4 linked regions of the Caenorhabditis elegans genome follow. The protein of the gene in region 1 interacts with the protein of each later gene in a pairwise test. Each region holds a gene or a part of one and is shown in the gene's direction. Other genes may lie near its edges.

Region 1 (4,946 bases):
TTAAATAAAACATTTCTGTAACTACGTGAAGCTTCTTGTACCTACTGGAATATTATTGGTATATGCTGAAAGAGCTTAAAATTTACTACAAAGTTTCTGAAAGACATTTCAAAAAAAGTTACTTTCAAAAGATTTATGAATTTTCAAAGTTTGGAAAATTCATCTATTTTTGCCTATAAATGGTAGTTTTCATTAAATAATAAAATACGCACTAAAAGGTAGGGCTGAAAATGTACTATTTCTGTAACTACGTGAAGCTTCTTGTACCTACTGGAATATTATTGGTATATGCTGAAAGACCTTAAAATTTACTACTCAGATAAACCGAACCACGCAGGCACCGCTCCAAACCACGCAGGCAACGCGTACAAACCACGCTCAAGAATGCCAGTCCCTGCGTGGTTTCAACGCGTTGCCTGCGTGGTTTGGAGGCGACACCTGCGTGGTCTTGCAGCAATGGCAGTTCGCAGCCCGCTCCTTCCCCTTCCTACCGTTTAACCATCTAAAACGCAAAGTACGAAAATCTCAAAAATAACAACAAAAAAAGGTGGGAAACAAAATTAAGTCCATTAGGCAGTTGTTTTCGTCCCAGTGATCAGTGTGATGGTGTGTCCTTTTCCTGGCTCATCTTTTTCCGTGCGTTCAAGCTGCAATATTATTGATTTTTGGAAATACAAATTGATAGAAGGGTGTTTACCATTTTTGATCCACCTGTCGGGAGAAAACATCGCCAAAATCCGCACTCGGGAACTGTCCTTCGAATCCGGCTACAACATGTAGAATATTGTGAAGAACGCCTGAAAATTTTTGTTTAAAAAAAAATTGGACAAGAATAGCTTACTGATAGGACAATTGAGAAGTCTTCCTTGAAGAATCTGATGATTCACCGAATTTGGGTGGACACTGAAGGTGTGGAGGAGCTCTGGAGGAATTGTCTGAAAAGTGAACTATTTTAACTACATCTGGATTTGGAGAATTTGTGCAGCTGCCAAACTTCTGTTCACCTTTGACTTGGAATTTTCCGCGATTTTCCTAAGCTCTTTGAAATCCCAGTCCATAGTTCGAACGAACGATTCCGAAGGTTTTTTCTGAAATTTTGTTGCTATATATTTTTTAAAAATAAAGTTTATCTTACGTTGAAGCGACCAATCGAATGCGGCGCCTCCAGTCCATTGCCACGCCGCTTTCGGCCTCCTTTTGGGGTTTTTCGGGCCGGGGTTGACATATTTACCTGAAAACAATTATTGAGTTTCATGAAGAAATTGAAAATTAATATAAAAGTGCTTTTTGCAAGAAAAAAAACGGAAAATTCCATTAAATTAGGAAAAAAAAATAGAAGAAAAAGTTGTCCAAGAGGAGTACGCAGCCATTGGCCTAGGAATCCCGCGCGTGGCTGAACGTTGGCTGCCTGCATGGTATGTAGGCGTCACCTGCGTGGTTTTGCAGCCACTGCCAATAGCTGCCCACCGTCAAGTCGCCTGCGTGGTTCCTAGGCGTCACCTGCGTGCTTTTGGTTGCCTGCGTGGTCTTGACGCGTTGACTGCGTGGTGGGCAGTCACCTGCGTGGTTTGGAGCGGTGCCTGCGTGGTTCGATTTATCTGAGTACTCTAACTTGGGCATTTATTTGAATTATATTTGAAGTATATTCGGAAATTTTTCTTTTTTTGAACATTGAAACACATTGAAATAAAATAAAATAAAGTTTGCCAGAAATTTCAATTCCAGTAATTTGTTGATTTGCCTGAAAGCTAATATATATCGAAATGTATACATTACCCGTAATCAAAACATTTTGAAGTAACAGTATTCTGTTATTCTATCCGTTTTCTCTTCACTTTTCTCTCCCGATCAACTCACTCAATGTGCCCTCTTCCTACATTACACTTTTACGCACTCTAACACTCTCTGAGCCGATAGTTTTATTCAATCGAAATGTTCGCTTATTCAACGTCTTCAATTACCGGATCAACTCTTTCAGTTAGATCGTTTTCCAGTGACACGACAATTTCCAATGCGTTTTTCAATTTGCCTCAGGTAAAGTTGTTGCAAAATATATTGATTTATTGTTATTTCTACTTTTAACCAATGTTTTTCAATTTAAAAAATTTTGAATTGAGCATATTAGCGCTGATTTTTGTTTTTTTTTAATTTAATATTTGAAAATAGCCTGTCAATTTATAAAAAATCTATGCTTTATATTTATTAAAGATATTAGCCAGACGGGAAATTTTGCAATTTTTATGTGTTTTGCGCGAAAAATACGGTAGTTCTTGGTCTCAAAACGACAATTTTTCGTTGCATGGAAACGGGTGCTCTCCTTTAAAGAGTACTGTAATTCTAAACTTTTGTCGCTGCGGCATTTTATTCGACTTTTCATTGTTTTTCTTAAAATTTATGTGTTTTAATTGTTTTACTTCAGTTTTTTACAAAATAAAAACAGCCTTTTTTAACGAAGAACTATGAAAAAACGATGAAAACCCTGCAACAACGAAAGTTCGAAATTACAGTACTCTTTAAAGGCGCGCCCTGGTTTGAATATAACAAAAAAAAAGTCGTGTCGAGACCAGGAACCGTATTTTTGGCGCAAAAATCGCAAAATGTTGGGTATGAGTATAAAATAAAACACCGTGACCACTGGCTTGAGCCACGTGTACGGTATTTAGCTGAAAAGTTTCGATCGTGTCAGGACTCAAGACTGTTCTTTTGGGGGAAAACCCGAAATTTTCGTGGGCAGCTGGTACTCTTCTTTCTGGATTTAATCCGGATTTTGACAGAAAATGTTTTCTCGACGATTTTATTGAAAATTTCCATCTGTTTCCCAAACTTTCTCCAATTTTTTTGAAATTCTTGAATTCAGTATAATTATTATTCAGTTGAATATGCAAATTTTGTTATTAAAACAATTGAAATATTTGTTTTATTCACTTTTTGAGCAGATCTTTTTTTCAGAGCAATTTCCGTCAACGTCTGCAAGCGAAAAAACGAAGTCCGAAAAGAGTCAGCAAGCGCGCTCCATTGAGAACGCATCCTCCAATTCCACGACAGGTTTTTCCACTTTTCTCTTCTTTTTTTCCCGTTTTTTTTCATTTATTTTATGTTAAAATTCAGAAAATAAAGAAAAATATTTAGAAATAAATAAATTAAATTAAAAAATGCATTTAATTATCATTTATATTCGCTCAACAACACGACAATCCCATTTTCCGCTCACTGCCACGTGTAGCTTTGCAGATGTCGCTGTTTCGGAACTTTTTTGGCGGCGGACAGCAAGATGAAGACGAGGATAATGGAGCTGAATATGTAGAAACACTTGTGGAACGAGCAGAAACTTGTACGGCACCAGAAGACCGTCGAGATGCGTTGAGAGGGCTGAAAGGTGTCGCAAAGGTGAGAGAAAAAATCATTTGAACTATTAAAATTAAACAATTAAAATTAAACGTGTAATTTCAGAAATATCGATTAGCCGTCGGAACAATGGGAATGAATGCATTCATTGACGTGCTTGAAACAGATCGCATGAACACCGAAGCCATGACAATTGTGCTCGACACGATGGCAATCGTTTTGTCAACAGACGACGATTCTTCAGAATCCGATGAATTAGGAGAACGATTAGCCGAAGTGATGATTAAACGAAAAGGCTTCATTTCTTCAGTTTTATGCGCCGTTGAACAATTCGATATTGGAGTTCGAAGGTTTTTATTCCGAAATTAACGAGAAAAAAATCAAGATGCTTTAAAAAATTCACTAATTTCAGCTAAAATCTCCAATTTCGTCAACTTATCGGTGTCACAACAACCGCAAATTAATTTTCTTTTTAATTTATCCGTATTTTCTCCGATTGAGATACATTTTCAGGCCAAAGGCACTGAATAAGGGGCCTATCGACTGAAAATTCCTCAAAAAACGGCAAAATATGATTATAATTGAATTAAATCGATTTCCGGCTGTTGCGAGACAATCTTCGAAATTAAAAACACCTGATGTTAGGCAAAATCCCCAATTTTGCTCCTTTTTTTGCGTTACAACAGTATAAATACAGTCTTTATTGCATTTTTTTTTTGGTTTGGTATCCGATTTTTTATTATCTTTGGTGTTTGCTTTTAATAACGAAATAACGTGAGATCAAATAAAATATGAAAATTCGATAAAAACTGCATTGCAGCAGTCCTAACGCGGAAAAATTGATAAAATTGGAGATTTTAACTGAAATTAGCCCGTTTTTCAGAAATTTTGAGAATTATATCTTCAAAATTAGTGTATTTTGGCGCATTTTTAATTTTTACGAGCAAAAATTCCCCCGAATCCTCCTTTAAGGAAGATTTCGGACGATTTTGAACGTATACCCCCAAAAATGGGCTCAAATAATCGAACTTCGTATTGAAACTGCTCGAAAATGTTTGAAAAACTTTTTATGGCGGTTCAAAATTTCGAAAAAATACACTGATTTTAGCTAAAATCTCGAATTTTGGCCTTTTCTCCGTGTCGCAGCGGTTCGAAGTTGACTTTTTTGGAATTCTCGTCCTTTATTGAATATTTTGGTACTTTATCTCATATTATTTCGTTTGTTAAAGTACATTTAAAGACGATAGGTAACCGTTTTTTATGATTTTTGGCTACTTATAGGCTTTAAATGTACTTTAATAAACGAAATTAAATGATATAAACTACCAAAATATGCAAAAAAAGGATGACAATTCCAAAAAAGTCAATTTCGGACAGCTGGAACACGGAAAAATGGCCGAAGTTCGAGCATTTAGCTAAAATCAGTGTAATTATATAATATTTCGAAATTTTGAACCGGCATAAAAAATACAAAATTTTGAAAATTTCTTGAGCAGTTCTATTACGAAATTCGTCCATTTGAGCTCATTTTTGAGTCTTTACGAGCAAAAACCCCCCGAATCCTTCTATAAATTATTTCAAAAATCTGTATTTTACTATTT
Region 2 (4,794 bases), on another chromosome or scaffold:
AGAGTTTTAATAAATCAAATTGTCTATTGTATGTAGTTTTTTTTTTGGTTTTACATTTACTGATTATTAGATTAAAATTAAATAATTCAATTTTGAAAATTCAGAAAAATAGTTTTGACATCCTCTACTACCTTTTTTTCTCATTTTATCTTTAAAAAATTAATTCAGGGCGATCATTCCCGCCAAATACGGACATGAATCCCATTTGGTTACCAAAAAAGTGCGGCGGCTGTCGTTGAAAATAAAAAAATCCAAAAAGTGGGAAAACGACATCTTCTGTTCACTCATGCGTACAGAATCTCCAAAAACATTTCGCCGTATTCATTTTTGGCGTGATGTACCACATATGACTTGGTCCAGATAAAGGTACTGGTGTAAATTTGTCTGTTGTGTAATCGGCATTTGACGCTAGCTTCTTGCCCAAGTTTGGCAAAAAATTTCAACTTGAATCACAACACGATAAGCTTGGTTTGGACTGTGTTTAAGTTTACGCCAAGTTTGATCCAAATAACAGTTTTTAAATAATATTTTTTTTAATTTTTGGGAAAAACGCAGGTAACGCCAAATGCCAAGTATAATTATTTTTAGACAACCGTCTAAAATTTGGAAAATATATTTTTAATACAAAAAATCTTACTCCGAGATTGATAAATGTGGAAATTTTGTAAACTACGATAAAAAATGCAAATTATTCTTAGTGTGTCAATAAAATTTTTCTATTTACTTTTCACAGTCCCAGTACTTGTTTCCTGCCAGATTTTCTCAAATAGGACTGACACCTGAAGCGGAATAATTTGCTATTTGACTTCCGAGCCCTCGAATTCTGGCGGGCGGTCCAACAAGAAGAACCCTCAATATTCCGTTAGTTATTTGTCGTCTCTGAAGACTTTATTGTCGGATGCAGCGATACCGTAGTCCGAAGAAAAGAATAGAAGAAACTGACAATGAATGGAGAAGTGGAGTAAAGCCAGCTACAAGCAGGGCAGAAAATATAAATGAATAAGTAAAGAAATCAGTTACAGAAAAGTGACATTAAATTTTTTCCACGTATCAAATTATGAAAATTATTCATAGCGAGGTTTTTTAAATGTTTAATTTGCAGTTACACTGCTTGAATCCGAATATCGATGCGGTTGCATTAATATTTATGTATAAGGAATCATCAAAAATAAAAGCAGTAGCTGATTAAAACTTATTTTTAAATCAGATATGTGGTGCATCTCCTTTTCAGAAACCAAGTAGTTTTGTTCGATCTGTTAAATTCTGTTAATCACAATGGTTCAGAATGTCTGTAAACATGCTTAGAAAACTAATGAGGTCGGTGGAGCAGAAAGTCTGTGAAAACTTCTAATTGGAATCAGGTGCTGGCAGTGAAATCACAAAATATCTTGGTCTGTACACCGGGCAAGAGCATGCCTACACCCCGCGAGTTTGGCATGGCTAATCCCTTGTTTGACAGATGTTCAGGGGGAAGGAGCTACCACTGAATAGTTTCCACGTGAGTAGAAATTGATTCATGTTCATAACATTGATGGCAATGTATTCGAGAAACAATGCCCATCTGCCACAAGTTGCAAAAGGTAGATTGTGAATAAAGCTGCGCATAATCCATAGAGAATATGAATGAAAACTCCGCCCATTTCAAAGAAGACGATTGGCCCGAGAATAGAAGCAAAAAGTCAGCGGTGTCCTAGGTGAGACAACGGAGAAAACGTGTCCGGGCGCGGCTCTTTTCAATTGTGGACCGAGAGGGAGAGACGTCGACGTCTTCTTTTTATGTCACACTATATCGTTGAAATAGTTTCGCGCTTTTTTGTTCTGTCCCCCGAAAGTTTGTTGGACAGTTAGATACTGAGGATCTCTTATTCTAACACTTCCAATATCTACACTTACACTAAATTTTACGCTACACAACACCAAAATCCGCGAGTATTCAAATAGTGACGGTCGAGTTGACAAAAGTGAACGTGGTGAGTTAAACTCTTGTTGGGTAATGAGTTAGCAGAAAATCAATAAGATGGCGAGCACTTTCAGATGGGCGTGCTAATGAGGTGGGCATGGGCTAGAAGTAAGAACTACCCTTCTTCGTCGGCATATATTTTCTCATTTCAGTCTGTTGCCTTTCTGCTGATTATCATTAGACTTTCTTGTTGAGTAGATAAATTTTGATGCCTCATTGACAATCATAAATAATAGAGAAACAATCGATATTGTCATAATGATAACAAACTAAGTAGGAATAATGTAGAACTGGTTATATTTTGAATAATTTCAAAACTCTTTGGTCTTTAGGCTAAATATAGAAACCGAGTCCTTCTCGAAACATTGATGTCGTGGGCTGCTATCATGTGTCTCCTATGACTTCAAACTTTTCTGAAATTACGTTACCTAATTTTTTTGAGCTTTCATGTTGTATCACAAAAATTTTTCATTCTGCTATAATTTTTCACAGATAATTGTTTGGTTCTAAATTCTGGGCAAAGTTTCAGAATATATTTTGAACTTTAGAACTGAATTCTTGAGCATTTCTGATTTAAAAAATCTTTTTGAACTTTTGCTACAACTTCTTTTCTCTACCATAAAATGTTTTCAATCTTGTTCGATGCTTCTACAAAAACTCCAACATCAGGAGCCATGCTTTCTCCTCCCACTTATGTTATTCATTGTGTATGTACATCCGCATGTGTCCATCATTGACTCCAAATTCCATTAGCCATCTACCGTATCTGGATTTCCGGTGTGTGACGCCGACTCCATGGCCAACACAGAATCATCGTAATTCTCCCCGCAATCTACATATCGCTACTCCAATTTTCGAATTTTGCCCCGTGTTGCAATTCCAATGCATTCAATCAAATTTAAAAGTTTTGATGATTTGTCTACTCATTTTTCCCACCCGTTCCGTTTTCTCCATGTTCAACATTTTTGTCGCCACCACCATCACTGAGAGGGGTTTTTGTAATTGGCTTGAATTGACACCCATTAACCGGCACACCCGCTGTTTGGAAGATGTCATAACGAAAACGTCGTTTGATGGAGGTCTTTGTCCGCGCCTTGTTTCCCTGTCCCTATAGTTGAAGGTGTTCGCCATCAGGCACCACTACTTTTTTGGCGCCCCTCTCTTTTTCTCTCTCGTCAGTGTCAAACGAGTAGTTGAAAATTGTGCTATTCCAAATTACATGGAGCCCCACTCCTCTGACCCGAAAGCCTTTCCATCAAATTTCGTTTTAGTAGATCTTTTTAACTTGTCATTATGCTCCTTTGGATAAACGATTTGGCTCACAGGCAAAGCATTTTCAACTGTGGGGACATTCCGGAAACACTTAGCCAATTGATAATGACAGTCCATCGATGAGTTATAAGATATGTTATCAGATGTACAAATCTGACACCCATACAACAGTCCTCACCTCGCTCTCGTCGTCATTCAGTTGCCAAAATCGTCATGCCTACTTCCAATTATGCAACTTTATCTTACGGGAAAATCTAATAACTTTTGCATTTCAGCTATGGCACACATGTTCAAGACATATTTTTAAAAAGTGAAAAGGTTGTCGGGAATATATAAAGATAAGGTATTGAAACTTTGGAAGCCCACGTTGAGACACTGTAAATAAACATTCACATTCACAATTTTTATCGTAGTCACTAATGTCTTGTTCCTTTAAAAAACATTTTCAATTTGCGGATTACAGAGGAACTAACTTCAAAAATTAAAAAAAAATCATTGAAAACGTTTTCTAGAATTACTTTTATTGAGTTAGAAAAGTAGAATCATGCGCAAAGTTTTTAAATTGATGTGCAAGAAAAAATTATCTTTAAGCCTAAAAAGCAAAATCCAATTTACGACACTTCCAAACGACAGTAAAAATTTTAAAAATTCAAAACTTCTCTTTTTATTTTTATCCGCAATCTTTGAATCACCAAGACCACTATTATGAGCAACTTCAAACAAAAAAGTTTATGAGTTCAGATGTAGTTCGAGATACTGAGTCATGAGCCTTCTCCTTTTCGTTCTCAAGATTTTGATCTCCTCAAACCGAGCTGGGTCCATTTCTACAGCATTGTTCTATTCTTTTGTCAAATTGGCTTTTTTAACCCTTTCTTACCTGCCGAGGCCTTCTTTGTTACCTTCCGATCACCACATCTCGACGGTCCTCCCCTCTTTATCTTACTTGCTGCTAATTACGTGTTCTCGTCAGTCGGCTCCAGGCCCGGATTAACTTTGACTACAAAACATATGTCGTTTGTGTTGTCTCGCTGCTGCATCAATTCTGGGTCAATAATTTGTGATTAGCTACCACCTCCGGTCTAATTAAGGGCTCCACAGGTTGAGGCAGCTCACCTTCTGTTGTTCTTGTTTGGTAATACCAAAGCATCTATGTAGTTAGACTTTTGTAAAAGATTATGAATCAGTGAATCAGTACTTGCAGACAACTGAAAAAGAGTACATGCTTACTTTGACGTTAATGGAACTTCTAGAAGTATCAGATAATGTATTAGAAAATAGGTACCTGATTATCATATGGGCCAGTGACTCGGAGACGAGTGATAAAGTATCACATGTAACTGAGCATGTAGTACATGTACCCTAGAAATCCCACCTTCCATCTCACCTTTTTCGGGTCTTACTTCTGTTATTCTTTTTTAGTTTCCATAATTCACTCAAAACCGCTCATTACCATTACCACATTACTACTTCTCCGCTATATGCATTTGATATTAGACACCAACTATTGTGACCGGTGTCTTCAGTCTTTTCCCGCAATGGAGTAGGTGACTGTCATTATTGTA
Region 3 (8,018 bases), on another chromosome or scaffold:
GAAATTACAAAGTCTTCAAAATTTCCAAAAAGAACATACAGGAACATGTAGAAGAATTTCCAGTTTGTGAGTACTGAACTATTTCCAAATTTGATAAAAGTGACAGACTTGTGAAACCAGAGTTGGCTATCGTTATGCATCCAACTATTTTTGTGACATTTTCCAGCTTGTATTCAACGATCTTAAACAAATTATTGGAATCCTATAGTGTTTTGAATAAATAAAACCTCAAACGGTGGCATTGTTGACTCGAGACCCATTTGAATATGTCCATGAATTGTTGTGCAGTTGTCGGGTAATTTGTCCAACTCACATAATGGGCAATAACAATCTGTAAATGATATATTCAAAGTTATCAAAAGTATTACCGATTAGAATGATATTTAAGATTTTTGCATTTGGCAATTGGAAAATAAAATTTAAAACGCAGTTTTTTCCCTATTAGACTTGCACCATCATTTCTCTATTTTGACGGCTCATATTTCGGATTTCTTAAGTGAACTGTTTCAAAAACTGTTTCAGAATATAGATCAATATTTAGCGCGTATTTTGTCAATTAACAAATTTTTGATAAAACCAAAAAAAACCGAGATAAGCTGGACAGTTAGAAGAGAGTAGTAATTTCTTATAAATTTAATTGTTATCCAACATTTTGCGAAATTTCGTCTCTAAACCAAAACTAACTAAAATAGTAATATGTTTACTATTTCATTTTCACTTACCATCTCCAATTACAAAGTGATATAACTGAGTAAAAAGAGCGGCAATAAGTGGCCATTGCATAAATTCCAGCGCGTTACTCTTTTTCGTTGCAACCAGACGATAGACAAACAAAACTTGTGATTAGATTAACCAACTCAAAAACTGCTTTATTTTTTATTATTTCCGCCCACCCTCCGGAAAGCGATTGTCATAGTAACCAGCGAATTTCGCACGCCTTCTAGCTACTGCACTCGCTGGTTTTTTTTTAATGAAAAATAGTCGAAAGGTGGTTAGTGGGAGTTTTGAAGATTACGTAATTATAGAGAGCAGGATGCTGAACTTTCAGATTTTATTCAAATTATATGATCATTAGTTTCAAAAGTTTACCAACAAAAAAGACAAAATAAGTACATACATACGCTTGAAAAATCAAATAATCATGATTTTAAATACAAAAAAAGGAATTTCGGGAAATTGTCAAATCGTCAAATTACCTGAAAAGTTTAAAAAAATGTGCTTTAAAGAAAAATACTCAAAGTGTTATGAAAATACCACAAAAATAAAAAAGAATGAACAAACCAAAAAGGCAAGTTTCAATTGTGACTGTTCTCCATTTTTAAACTTCTTCCAAAAGTATAAGCCACGCCCATTTTCTAACCACTCAACGTCTTCAAACTCTACACAATCGTCCTGATTGGTTGAAAAGTGGGCGGAGCAAATCACTGATTGGTCAAAGTTTTTATTTCGGAGGGAATTCAAAATCGCGGTTTTAATAGTTCGAATTTCCATTTTTCTGCGGTTTATTTTTCGATTTTATTTTGTGGTTTTTTGAATTTCGGACTATTTTTATGTTTTAAAGAAACATCCTAATTTTAATCTACACTTTCAAGCTTCTGAAAATAAATACTGAAGTTCAATTTGTCAATTTCTTCTCAAATATTTCAACGTTCAGGACAGTTATCATAATCTTCGAGAACCAACAAACCAGCTGCATCTTCCCGCCGTTCATATCCTCATATCTTATTGATCTTTTTTTCAAATTCCCATCGGTTTCAAAACTTATGAGTAAATAGTCAAACAAAGCCTAAAAACCAGTAAAAGACTCAACCAAGAACTTTTCAAAATCCGATCCGCGCACCCCACGCACACCGATTGATATCGGCCGCCGCTGTGTTTGCAGGAGATGGCTGGGGGCGTCTTTCGTCTGTTGCTCCCCAGATCTTTCTCCAACTTCTCTGCGTCTCAAATCTTTTTTGGCTCCCGGGAGCACTCGGCACACTCATCCCCAACTCTCCAAGTACACCCCACTTTATTATTATATTCGATTCGTCTTCTCGTTCTATCCTGTTTTTTTTTAATTCGAAATTCCAATATTTCTAAAATTCAATCCTTATGAGCAGTTCTCCACAAAATGAAGCAGAAGCTCGCGAAAAGGTTTGTTCTAAAAAATTTATTTTTTTAAAGAAAATCTTAAATTCGTCGTTTTCCAAACATTTAAAAATTAATTTTGTGGACAACTGGAAATGAAATATACTTTAAACATCTACAAAAAATAATTATTAGAGACATTCATTGAAATTTTTTATCTTAAAAATATTGGTAACCCTATAACGGTCCTTTGAGTTTTAAAACTTAAATTTAAAATTTTTGTCAATTTTCAAAATTTTTATATTTCGTTTAAGCTCCCTATAGGTGCTGTACAAATTTTCTTTATTTCAAATAGACATTGCAACTTTAAAGTAACGTTTTTATTTTTTAAATGAAAAGTTATTCCACTGATTTTGAGAAAAAGTTAAGTCCCTGTACAACATTGATTAGTTGATTAGTGCAATCATCTCTAACCCACATGACCCATAGATTCTTTCAGATGCGCGAGCTGATGTCACGTCCACCATCGAGTCGACCAGCTGATTTTGTGAATCCTCTCGAAAAGATCGAGCAGTTGCTGACGTGTCCGATTTGTCTCGATCGCTACAAGTAAGTCTGTGATCTCAATCAGCTGTTCGTTTTGAAAGTGAGCAGACGAAATTGAAAGAAGAAGCACCACGGACAACCAAAACAAACTATTAGTGTGTAGTTCAAGGATAGACATAGGCCGTGTGACTTCTGACTGACCACTGTTATCATATGACCTAGGCTAAGTACCGCTTGGCTGAGGGGAATTTTTTTGAAAAAACGAGATAGACTTAGGGGATGCATAATAAACATCCGGTTGTTTACGCACTGTGCATCAAAACAATAATAAAATCAGACAGACTGTTATGATGATTAGCTAGGAGAACGTTATGGAGAAATCAACAATCTAAGATCCTGCAGGGATCTTTTAAAAATGAGGATCATTTTTGGGTTAAATCAACAACGTTTGTGTCAATAAATATAGACTAACCTACGTCAGAGTAAAAAGTGGAACATTAAAAAAAAGAGATGTTTCATTGATCTGTTATAGATGAACAAATGTAAACATCCATTTTAAAAACGAGAACCTTTTCTTGTAAAATATTTGAATAATACACTTATAGTCTCAAAAATAAAATAAAAAAAAGTAAAAAATTTGAATAACTTTGCACGAGACCTCAGACAATCATGACAAACATTGTATTTAGTGAACGTAGGGGTAAAGTTTTTCAAGCTTAGAAGGTGTAATACTATGATATTTTTCAACTCGCCATTTCTTGTTCTGTCTTCTCAAGTTTAATTTCTCAAGTTTTATCTTGCTAACTTTTTATAAATCTTTTTGTTTTTGAGAAAGACGAGTAAGAAGAGTTGGCGTAGTATTTTAGCCCACTAGGAGTGTTTTTAAACATTTTTTCTCAATGGCGATTATCTTCAAAACTCAACGTTTTTATTGAAGTTTCCTAATCATAAGTTTGCCAATTTTTTAGATTAAAAGCTCTAGCTTTTGGGCTATAACCCGGTGCTCATTGAAAATTCACAAAAATACCTCCTGCGATAAAAGAAACGTTTCAAATATTTTTTTTTTCAATTCAATAGATGATTGGAATTTTTTTCGAAATCTTAGAAATCATATGACAATATTTCAACTGGTGGCAATCCACTTTTTAACAATGAAACACTTCAAAATCAATCACACAGTTGTTCTCAACTCATTGTTAGAGTATTTCGAAACAGCTTCACCGTTGTATCTATCTCCATGTCGAACGGCTTTTCCTCTACTTTCTCTTTTCTCTTTTTTACAATCGAGAAGGGAGCCAAGAGAAGACTTTTCAATCGGATTCTCCGCCAGTTCTCAACTATTTTGCCATTGGCTATGGGGCTGCAAAGTGTGTGTATTACACCGATGAGGAAACGAAGAAGCCTGCTGGACGTGATCTCTTTGAAAGATATTTAGAAAGAGAAACGAGACTTTTTATGATTTTTTAAAGTTGTGAAATCGTGAGATATTGACATTGGACATCTGAAGAACTTGGTAGTTGAAATGTAATACTTTGAGCTTTGATTTTTATAGAGATAAATGCTGAACAGAATGGCTAAACTTTTAAATATCAAGTTATAGATTTAAACTATTTTCAGACAACCCAAGCTTCTACCTTGTCAACACACATTTTGCTATCCATGCTTGGAAAGTTGTGCAGACACGTTACATCGCAATTTGAAATGTCCAGAATGTCGAGCAGAACACAATATTCCATATGACGGAGTAAAGGCGTTTCAGGTGTGAAAATAAGTATCACTTTGAAGCAAAATATTTCATTTTCAGCCAAACTACACATTAACCGGGTTTCTCGAGATTCATCTGCAGGCCACACCAGAATCGGCTGCAGAAATTGAAGAGTACATTCACAGGTACAATTTGGAACGGTGCAAGATTTGTGATGAGAAAGCAGACTGTGAACCATGTGCACATTGTGATAGAAAAGCATGTAAAGAATGTCGACAGACTCATATGGATATGCTTAAAAGAGACATGTCGCGACTTTTGAATCAGGTTAAACGGCTTGCCAATCGAATTACGGAAGCATCGGATAATTTATCAAAAGGAGTTGATATGATGACAATGAACTGTGAGACAACAAAAGCAGAAATTAAAGAATATTTCCACAGGTTTGTCTGAAAAGATATAAAAACCCGAAAAAAAAATTAAATTCAGATACCAGAGAGATCTGAAAAAGAAGGAAGACAACTTTCTCATGGAAGTTGATACATTTCAAGCTACTGAGACTCGTAATATGAGCAATCTTCGTGATGTTCTGGAAATTGAAAGTTCTAATATGAGTGAAGCAGTTTCTAGACTGGATGCTGCAATCAAGGTGGGATTTCATTGAATATTTTGAAGCTATCGAGAATTTCAAAAAGATATCATAACAAAAAAATCTTAAAATTTTCAGGGAGAATGTTCAATTGAAGATTCTGAACTTGTTCGAATGAAAAACACGTTTACGGAAGGGCTTGAATATCTTAGGAACTTTCAGGTAACTTTTTAATTTAATTGTTGAACATTTCTTATTGTATTAATGCTTTAGCCCGACGCCGACGAACTTTTTAATCGAAAACTCCGATTCTCAGCTGGAGATGATGCTGCTAAGCTTCCAGCAGCGATCACTACTTCTGGTGAACTTTGTGTTCTAGTTCCTCAATTTTCGGGAAGGTATATTTCAAAAACTTCAAAAAAAACGAAAATCTTTAGTCAATACTTTGTAGATACCTCCCTCTTGAACAATCATACCTTCCAAGACCATTCCGTTTACCATTGGAAAGTGACAGTTATCGGGTTAAATCTGACGAAAGAGCAAGTATGAGAGATCGAGAAGCTGATAGGACATCTTCAAGGCACAGGTATGTTCCATGGGAATTGGTTTTGGTTTTTTATTAACAAACGTGTGATTTTTAGTCAAGTAGTTTAGTTGTATAGTGTAGAACACTAATTATAGAAAATCAACATTGTTAAGGTGTCAAAATGAATCTACGTCCGGTCTCTGGCTCTCGACTTCATGTTTTCAGTTTTCTATGTAACGGCTTATTGTTGCAATTTACACTCAAATATAGTACAATTTATGTTTTATTCATTAAAATATCTTAGAGGTCGCCAGAATTGTGTCAAGATGCTAAATTTGCCATGCCAATAAAAATAATAATATTTAAGAAAGGGGCAACGGACAATTTAAAAAACTATTTAAAAGTTAATTATTTTCAAAATTTTATTCGAATTTTTGAAGAAAAACGGCTAGACAAAAAAGTAAAAGCGTTTCCGCGTTTTTATGTTGGTTTATTACTATCCAATTTTGGTTATTTTTTGGCCAAACACATATTGATCGCCCTTTATGAATATTAAATTTGGCACCGGCATTTTGACATAAATCTATTGAAGTTATAGTTCAATTTAGCTTGGATAATTTATTAAATGTATAATCTCACAATTACTTCTCCATACAGTTTCCCTCTCTAAACTATCCTCTTTTAATTTCAGTCATCGAAATCCTGAGCCTGATGAGTCCTCGATTCGTTACCGTCGTCGTCAGCAGCTGGAAGACGAAGCTTGGAATCGTCTCCGTAATTCATCTGCTGCTCCTTCTCTTCTTACTACATCAGTCACTGCGGACTCTTCATCACGAACATCGCCGTGGGCTGCTGATCGTGTCACCCGATCAGTTGAACCAACCAAGTCACGGCCAACAAGTCTGATTGTTCCGAATACTGAAACACCAAGAACTGTATCTCCAGCTAGTAAACCTCCTCTTCCACCACAATCTGTTGAACGGGTTGAGAGGACTGAAGATGCATCACCTGCTCCACTTCCACAACTTCCGATCCGAAAGCCACCTCTGCCACGTCAACAGTCCAGTAACGATGATTCTTTGAATGAGAAAGTGGAAACCATCCGTAGAGCTCATCAACAACGTCAAGATGCATCTAGAGCTGCATCAAGAGCAGTTTCAAGTGAAGAATCAGAGGGAGAGGATTTTCCCGTATCCACCAACCGCGGTAGAATACGAATAGTTTGTCGCGCGGCATCTGTAAACCGTGATGATGGACTGATGAGTATGATCCCAGGAACTGGTACGATCATAAATGTTCCGCCACCTCAACATCAACTTCCGGCATCCGCTCCGATCACCAATGGGACATCTGAACAAGTCGCGATTCCAGTCACACATTTCACAGGTGAGGAAGACGAAAGTGACATCGTCGTGCCAGCGTGGTTACAGCGTCGGAGGCAACGCTTCCAACGCTCGCGCACAAATCCCGACATACAGGCACAGTTCACAAGTGCTCGAGTGCAGCAGCTTCTCGCCGAACGTCAATCTCGTTTAGACTCTTCTACGACAACCGACGAAGAGAAAGAGAAGCTTGCCGTTTTGCGACAGCGTGGCCGCAGCGCTTCTCGTGAAGCTGGTGAATGGAGGGCTCGTGGTAGACCACGTGCAGTATTCGGACGAAAAGGTGCGAAGGATGGCGAGTTAAACTGGCCACGTGGAATTTGTGCATTGTCCGGAGGTCTTGTCGCAACTTGTGATTCGTCTAATCATCGTGTCTGTGTTTTCGATAAAGATGGAAAATTTGTTCGTCAGTTCGGAGGCTACGGTGCCGGTGCCGGACAACTTGATTCAGCTGCCGGGCTAGCAAGCTCAAAGCTCCGAGTTATTGTATCCGACAGGTACAATCATCGAATTTCCGTTTTTGGATTGGAAGGAGATCATTTGTTCTCATTCGGTGGACATGGACAGGGAAATGCTAAGTTCAATAATCCATGGGGAGTTGCTGTCGATGATTTGGGAAGTATCTATGTGGCTGATAAGGTAGGTCAACTATCATGAGACGTTTCTCAGTAATGCGAAAGTTCATAATTGTATACATTTTGATAAAAATTAACTTTGTTTATTAATTATCATCAAGAGAAGAACTTTGTTTTTGTAGATTCATATATTGCAGGCAAACCGGACGTCCGGTATTTTGAGTATCATTTTTTAATTTTTTTTTTTTTGGAAATTCGGACGCCGGACATTATTGTGGTCCGCTTTGCAGATCTAGATTAAATTTTAAAAAACATTGCCCCACATGCTAAAATACAAGTGAAGCTTAAATTATAGGATAATCACCGCGTCCAAGTCTTCGACAAAAATGGTCAATTCATTGCAAAATTCGGATCTTTCGGACATCTACCTGGTCAACTAAACAGTCCATTGTTCATAGCAGTTAGCAGAGTTACTCATCACGTGAGTGATTCCAGATAGATTCATGAATCATTCTGAATCGTTTCAGGTGTATGTATCAGATTCTTCGAATCATCGAATCAGCGTATTCGATCCCCACGGTGTTCATTTGTTTTCATTCGGCGAGGAAGGTTTTCATGGTGGACA
Region 4 (6,579 bases), on another chromosome or scaffold:
AAACCAGAGTCCAAAAAGTCAGCGGAAAAGCTTTCGAAAAAATCGGACAAAACCAAGAAAAAGACGACAGTATCGAGTGAGGATAAGCCTGAAAAACCGGAAAAATTGACCGAAGAGGAGAAGCCGAAGGAAAAGGAAAAAGCGAAGGAGAAGACTGTTCCAGTTCAATCGAAGCTTCGCGAGGGCGACAAGGTAAGCTGAGAATTTTTGGAAAATTGGGCTTATATGAGGTCGCCGCAACGACGCCGGCGCCGGACTCACTCATGCCGCATGTATCCGTATGTATAGTGCGGCGCGGAACTGGGAATGTGGCTACCGCTTTTTTTCAAATAACAATCTTTTCTCACTACATTGAGTACACACCAAACGACTCGTTTCATTTACTAGCGTGCTCATTTACTTGAAATCCCTAACAATGGCTCAATCCCTTTGACGCTCATTTACTAATGTTTTCGCCACAAAACGTCATAAAGGTTGGATGGTAAAATTGTAAACATACCAACTATGCTGATATATCAGCATACTTGGTACATCGTTAATGTTACTTACATCCATTTCTCTGTTAGTAAGGAGATGTTATCTGTTATCTGGCTTGCACAAAACAAATTGGACAAAAGAGAGATGTCCACAAAGCGACGCCGACTCCTAAAAAAATCAGGGAGACAATACCGCGGTCTGCGTATCTCCACAGGCTCACCTGCTAGATGGCAATCAACCAGCGTTCAAGTAAATGAAAACACTAGTAAATGAGGGCTTGCCTGAGCATAGTTTTCCGGTCAAATTAAACATCTTAAACCTTCATAACTTAGCGTTGAATTTTCAGAACGCGGTTGTCACAGATCCTATTGTCACACCTGAAACGGACGAGTACCCCACACTTGAAGAGGATGGCGATAAGAAGACGGAGAAAAAGACTTTCAAGAAGGATAAGACTGATAAAAAGAAGTAGACTAGTATGTGGAATAAATGATTTTTGATATTAAAAATAAAATTTCTTTGACGAAAAATGTTCTCCTCGACATTTTATTGGTTTTCAACTTTTTTCTATTTTCCGGCAAATTGGCAAATCTCGAAATTGCCGGAATTTGCTGGAATAACGGCAATTGCCGAAAATTTTCGGAAAATTGTTGTTTTGCACTTTTTTTTGTAAATTCCAGTTTCATTGGCAAACCGAAAAATCGGCAAACCGGAAAATTGCCGGAATTGAAAATTTTCGGCAATTAAACAAACCGGCTAATTGCCAAAATTGAACATTTCCGGCAAATCGGCAAACCGGCAATTTGCCGATTTGCCGAATTTGTCGACGAAAAAATTGCCGCTCGCCCCTGTTGTCGACCTACATAGGTCTGGATACCTACAAAGTTCCCACTAGTAGTACTAATAAAAGGGGAGGTAGAAGATGAGATTAACGATTTCCTGAATTCCATCTCAAGCTGTCTCGCGTTAATTATGCACCACACCCTACCCTTTTATTTCGTAATCTCTCCCTCCGAGCCACCCATCTTCACCAACAACTACTACCACCTGCCGTACGTTTCCATAACAACCTGGGCCTCACTCCTGTCAAACTCTTTTTCTCGGATTGCTCTCTCTCTCCCGCTTTTTGTGTTCTACTCAATTTTGAGAACACATTTATTTCGGAAAATAATATTTCTGAAGACATGCTCTAGAAGTTTTTGACGGCAGTAGTAGTAGTCGTATATTTCCTGTAAGTTTTTGAATTTGTATGTTTTTTTTTGTTGCTGGTTTCAAACAATTTTTGTTTTCAAACGTATTTATTTTAAAAATACGCATGTAAATTTCCTGCAAAATCTTTTTTGTCAAAAATTAAAAATTTATCTTCAAGATATATGTTTTGTATTGAAAAATTTGAATTCAAATTTCTCTTTGGAAAAATTTCAGCAAATTTGTGTTCCGTAGTGACGTTAAAAGTTGTTAAAATGCAAATTTTTTCAAAAAAATTTAAAATTTTCCATTTTAATTTCCTTCATACATTTTTTGGAAATTATTTGACTTTTGCGCCAAAATTTATTAGTATTATAGGCTTACAATTAGGATTAGGCTTAGGTTTTTCACCAGAGGAAATTATTGAAAAATAAAAAAAAACAACGTAGAACAAATTTCACCAAATTTTGAATCTTTGTTGAAACTACCACAATTTGAAATAAAACAAACTCATTAAAAAAATGGTTCCAGATTTCCCCATGGAAAATCCACAACTTTCGTATATTTCCTAGCATTTCCTTCCTAATATTCCACAAAATGGCTCCACCGAAAGATCCACCAGTGCTGAGGAATCTACAAGCCACAGCGGACTTGCTAGACGCTCTTCAAAATGTAAGTTCAGCTTCTCTTACAGTACCTCAAAAAATTCGTTCCAGGACCCATCATTACTCAACGATGAGGAGTTCATCAAGCGTCTCTCAATTTTGCGTCAAAAACACGAGGAGACCACCAACTTCCTTGCCAAGAAGCTCGGCGCCCCACCGTTGCCAACTATGATGACGTCATCAGAAATTACACAGCATAGGTCGAGCTATAAGGTGACAAAATCTTCGAGTTGTCATTTTCAAGATGAAGCTTCTCCTTCTGACTATCAAATGCCACGTCATCTAGATCTGAAACCGAGATCTTCAGAAGTGAGAGTCCCTGTTCGGGCCGCACCGGAGCCTCCGAGGGAGCAGTCTTGGAGTCAAACTGAGTATGCCACGTTGGCTCACAATCAAAGCCACGAGGCACTTTATGAGGATCCACGTCATCAGGTTCATGCTACATCATCCCATCAGAATCCACGTCATCAAAGCTCTCGGCACCACAATATCGAATCTACAGCACCATCACAGGTCTCTGTTACGTCATCAGTCCAAAGTGTAGCGGCTTTATCTGGCCAAAATCCTCGTCAGCAGGTTCATGCTACGCCATCCCATCAAATTCCACGTCATCAAAGCTCTAGAACCCACCAAAATTCACGTCAACAGGTTCCGAGTGCTACATCATCAACTCTCCAAAATCCACGTCATCGAACATCCAGCGCGTCACGTCATCATTCGACAAGAAATGCCACGTCAGCAACAGTCCGGCAAATTTTGGCAAACGCATCGACCCGGCACCTCAGCTCCGCACCACACATCGCCACTTCCGTCGCCATGCCATCAGGGTTACTGTTATCTTCTAGTAATACGAAACACGTGGCATCTTCTAAGTCAGAAAATCCACAATTTGCCACGTCATCACACGTTGTTGAGGAGAGTTTTTTAGAGGACGGAATGTCAACGACACGGGAAGTTCCAACAATTCGGGATGAAGTTGTAGCGGGCGACTTAAAGCTTTCTAAGAATCGATCCAAGTCTATGCATCAGCTATCAAAGTATACACCACAGGTTACCGTACCGAAGCCGTTTCAGTTGAGCTTGAGGTAAGTAGCTTACAAGGGAAGTATTTCAACTTAGTTGCGGACTTCTGGATGTAACCTAAACTATAATTTTTTTTCAGAAAATCCACTGGAAATACTTACGCAAAAAAGTTCATGAGCGGCCTAATTACGGAAAAGCAAAAACTTGAGGAGGACGCCAAGAAAGCATTGGAAAACACAAAATTTCGGGCAAAACCTGTCCCCAAATCAACATATCAGCCTACAAATACATTTGCGACGGAGCAAAAATACGTAGAAGCCATGAGGAAAAAGGTGGCGGCGAAGGCTCGGAGGAAGTTTGAAGTTCAGAATGAAATGGTCCGATCGAAGAGTGAAGGAAATTTGGGTATGGTTTTTACATTGAAACTAGGATTTCTTGCAAAGTTTTAGGAAAACTGTTTTTTTTGTTGGAATAAACCGGAAAAATTACTAGCTTTTCTCATAGTCAGCTATTTAAATTTTAAAGGAACATTATGAAATTGATTATTGCCTACCGCAAATTAAATGTTGAATTCAAATTCAAAAAAAAATACCATTCCAAATTTTTTTACAGCTTCAATAAAACCTCTCGGGTACGTACCTCCATCAACATATATCTCACCAATTCCAGTGAAACCAAATGCCAGAAGCCGCAGTGCAACTATGAGAGCGACTATTCTTATTCAAGAAGCTACTACTCCAAAGGGAATTAAGGTAAACAAAATTAGAAATTTTGAACAATTAATAATTTTATTTAGAAACAAAAATTAAAAAAATTTAATGTTTTGGTTTAGAAATTTAGTTTTGTTTCATCTATATTCATCTACAAATTCGTTGTCAGAATATTCAACATTCCAGAGCCACCGAGCCCAGTCAAACCTAACCCATCACCTACGTCACGGGCGGTGCACTATGGACGCCTCCGCCGTCTCACTACACCGGCGGACTTCGCCACCGGATTTTGAGAAAATCCATGCAAAAGTGAGTCTAAAAATTAGTTATTTAAAAAAAAGTTGAGTGAAATTTTAAATTTTGGTAAAGTTTCAGAAAACCCAAATAAGTAGTTCTTTTTTGTTATTTCGTTTTTTTTGGAGCATAAAAACTATGTATTTTGCAAATTCTATGGATGCATGCTAATTTTCTACGTGGCACGATATTGCCTGGTAGGCACGTATTGGGGCTCAGAGTAGGCGTAGGCCGCCTTGAAGACAAATAGGTGATTATATAATTTTTTTTCCAGATCACCGATAACTTTCGTAACACAAATTCAAAACCCTCCACTGTGCCGATACCTTTCAAATTCGCATCCAGAAGTAAATCAGCAACTTCGAGACACGGAAATTGTCAAGAACAGGCTCCAAAACCATTCAAAAAATCGACTGAAAACTTGCCGAAAACCTCGAAAAATCGAGTGCCCAGCACTCACGCAACACAACTTCGCGAGGAGCTCAACCGAGCAAAAATTGAGCTGAAAAAGTCTGAAAAATCGGGAAAAAACGGGAATTTCTGGGCTGAAGATAATAAGCAGAGGATTTCCTCGTTTTTGGGAGCACGGAGCAAAACTGAGGAGGATATTGCGATGAGGACAAAGCAGAAACTGTAAGACTTGTTATTTTTAAAAAATATTATCAAAATTTGAAAATCGTTGAGGTTTGTCAAATTCAGCAAAAAAAACATTTTTCCAGAAAACGGGCAGACGCATAACCGGTCACTCCCTCAAAATGGTTTGAATTTCAAAAAAAAAAGAGAGAGACACAGACAGCGTGTCGCTCTGCCTGTCTGCGTCTCTTTTTCTCATGTTCTTTTTTTTTAATGTTAAAACAGTTTCCTGATTTTCAGGCAACAACAGCAGGAAACAACTCAAGAATACATGAGGCAGCTGGCCGAGATGAAGCAGAGGTTAGTTTGATAATTTTCGGAAGTTTTGAAAACCTTCCAAAAATTTCAGAGTGCTCAACGGCCCGCTAATCATGGAAAAACAGACGGCCCTGGCGCAGGAGCACCGTCTAAAACGAAAATTTGAGGAACGCATGAAAAGCGCCAAGGGGCGAGGTATAGAAAGGGTCCAAAGCCAGGAAAAGCAGCAATCAATCGGGAGAAGAAGCTCAGAAGTTAGTGGAAGTGGAACTTTTGTGGTTGACAAGGGTTATGAAGAGAGTTTTGAGTCGGAAGACAAGTCTGAAAAGTCTGGAAGTTCCACGCCATCTGAGTCTGGAAGTGGTTCTGAATCCGAGAATGAATCCAGGTCATCAAGAAGCTCAAAGCCAAAAAGTTCAAAATCAACGTCTTCAAAATCTTCAAGCTCACGATCCACTTCATCTTCCTCGGAAGCTTAAATGCTTGTTATTTTCTTTCAATTGACTAGGCTTTTAGCAGTTTTTATTTCAAAGAGTTTCAGCATTTTCCAAAAAATCGAAATTTTGTAAGACTTTTTTTCCGTTTGACCGCTCCTTTTTTGGTTCTTAACTCAAATTAGGTGCTTTTTTTTAATTTCTTGGGTAAAATTTTCGAAATTTGTTTTTTAATATAAAATGATTTATTGTAAAATGCTGGAGTTTCAGTTTTTCTTGAGTAATTTTAAGATGTGATTTCTTTGCGATTTATGAACAAATTGGTGATTTTTATTCAGTTTTATTTTTTAATAAATTCTCCATAAAATTAAAGTTCATTTTTGAAGTCCACCAAAATTGTTTACAATTTTTTAATTCATAATTTTAAAAAATGTTGAATTTCACGCCAGATCTCGAAGAATTAATGATATTAAACTTTTATAGAAGTTACGATTAATTTGATTCAAACATTATGTGAAGTGGAAACTATAAAGAAACTATGTATCAAATTATATATATGAAATTAATATTAAATTCTTATTTTTAAACGTTTTAAATGAAAGATTGACAAAAATTAATTGGAAAAATCATGACTGGAAAATAAGTTGATCCCTCTGGCAAATCACGCCGGCAATGTAGGTTGGCAAAAGTTCGCAGATGAACACTTTTTCCGGAATGTCAGTGTCGAACATTTGTAATTCCTTGTCTGGGAACTCACTGAAAATTTGATATCAATGATTTTATTTTAAAGCCAAAAAGATTCACTAACGAAATGTCGTATTCCCAGTCGGGAACATGCTGGAACTTCCTGAATTGCGGCTGCACATCATATAGCTGCATAATTCCATCGATGTCCAT

Evidence for each region.
Region 2: the proteins of uso-1 (region 1) and vab-3 interact in a two-hybrid assay, tested with the Caenorhabditis elegans proteins (2 studies listed by BioGRID).
Region 3: the proteins of uso-1 (region 1) and nhl-1 interact in a two-hybrid assay, tested with the Caenorhabditis elegans proteins (2 studies listed by BioGRID).
Region 4: the proteins of uso-1 (region 1) and famh-161 interact in a two-hybrid assay, tested with the Caenorhabditis elegans proteins (2 studies listed by BioGRID).

The regions. Positions count from the first base shown.
Region 1 is NC_003282.8:13,451,785-13,456,730, reverse strand, and holds the start of uso-1 (Uso1_p115_head domain-containing protein), read left to right. Parts: upstream 1-1,932; coding exon 1,933-2,034; intron 2,035-2,949; coding exon 2,950-3,045; intron 3,046-3,231; coding exon 3,232-3,387; intron 3,388-3,450; coding exon 3,451-3,695; intron 3,696-4,946. Other genes in the region: Y38H8A.7 (uncharacterized protein), read right to left, coding at 596-647, 698-797, 842-935, 1,005-1,088, 1,136-1,225.
Region 2 is NC_003284.9:10,498,136-10,502,929, forward strand, and holds the start of vab-3 (Paired box protein 6 homolog), read left to right. Parts: upstream 1-1,754; 5' UTR 1,755-1,970; intron 1,971-2,102; exon of another isoform or gene 2,103-2,158; intron 2,159-2,952; exon of another isoform or gene 2,953-3,059; intron 3,060-3,994; exon of another isoform or gene 3,995-4,100; intron 4,101-4,435; exon of another isoform or gene 4,436-4,576; intron 4,577-4,794.
Region 3 is NC_003281.10:9,147,881-9,155,898, reverse strand, and holds the start of nhl-1 (RING finger protein nhl-1), read left to right. Parts: upstream 1-1,996; 5' UTR 1,997-2,094; coding exon 2,095-2,136; intron 2,137-2,569; coding exon 2,570-2,679; intron 2,680-4,233; coding exon 4,234-4,375; intron 4,376-4,420; coding exon 4,421-4,764; intron 4,765-4,810; coding exon 4,811-4,970; intron 4,971-5,048; coding exon 5,049-5,132; intron 5,133-5,183; coding exon 5,184-5,308; intron 5,309-5,361; coding exon 5,362-5,496; intron 5,497-6,127; coding exon 6,128-7,457; intron 7,458-7,748; coding exon 7,749-7,874; intron 7,875-7,920; coding exon 7,921-8,018. Other genes in the region: Protein irld-34, read right to left, coding at 40-181, 228-331, 723-783.
Region 4 is NC_003283.11:20,529,171-20,535,749, reverse strand, and holds famh-161 (Protein fam-161), read left to right. Parts: upstream 1-1,577; 5' UTR 1,578-1,708; intron 1,709-2,196; 5' UTR 2,197-2,262; coding exon 2,263-2,337; intron 2,338-2,381; coding exon 2,382-3,415; intron 3,416-3,492; coding exon 3,493-3,758; intron 3,759-3,965; coding exon 3,966-4,105; intron 4,106-4,249; coding exon 4,250-4,372; intron 4,373-4,631; coding exon 4,632-4,990; intron 4,991-5,230; coding exon 5,231-5,290; intron 5,291-5,339; coding exon 5,340-5,727; 3' UTR 5,728-6,054; downstream 6,055-6,579. Other genes in the region: Y38H6C.15 (uncharacterized protein), read left to right, coding at 1-192, 824-949.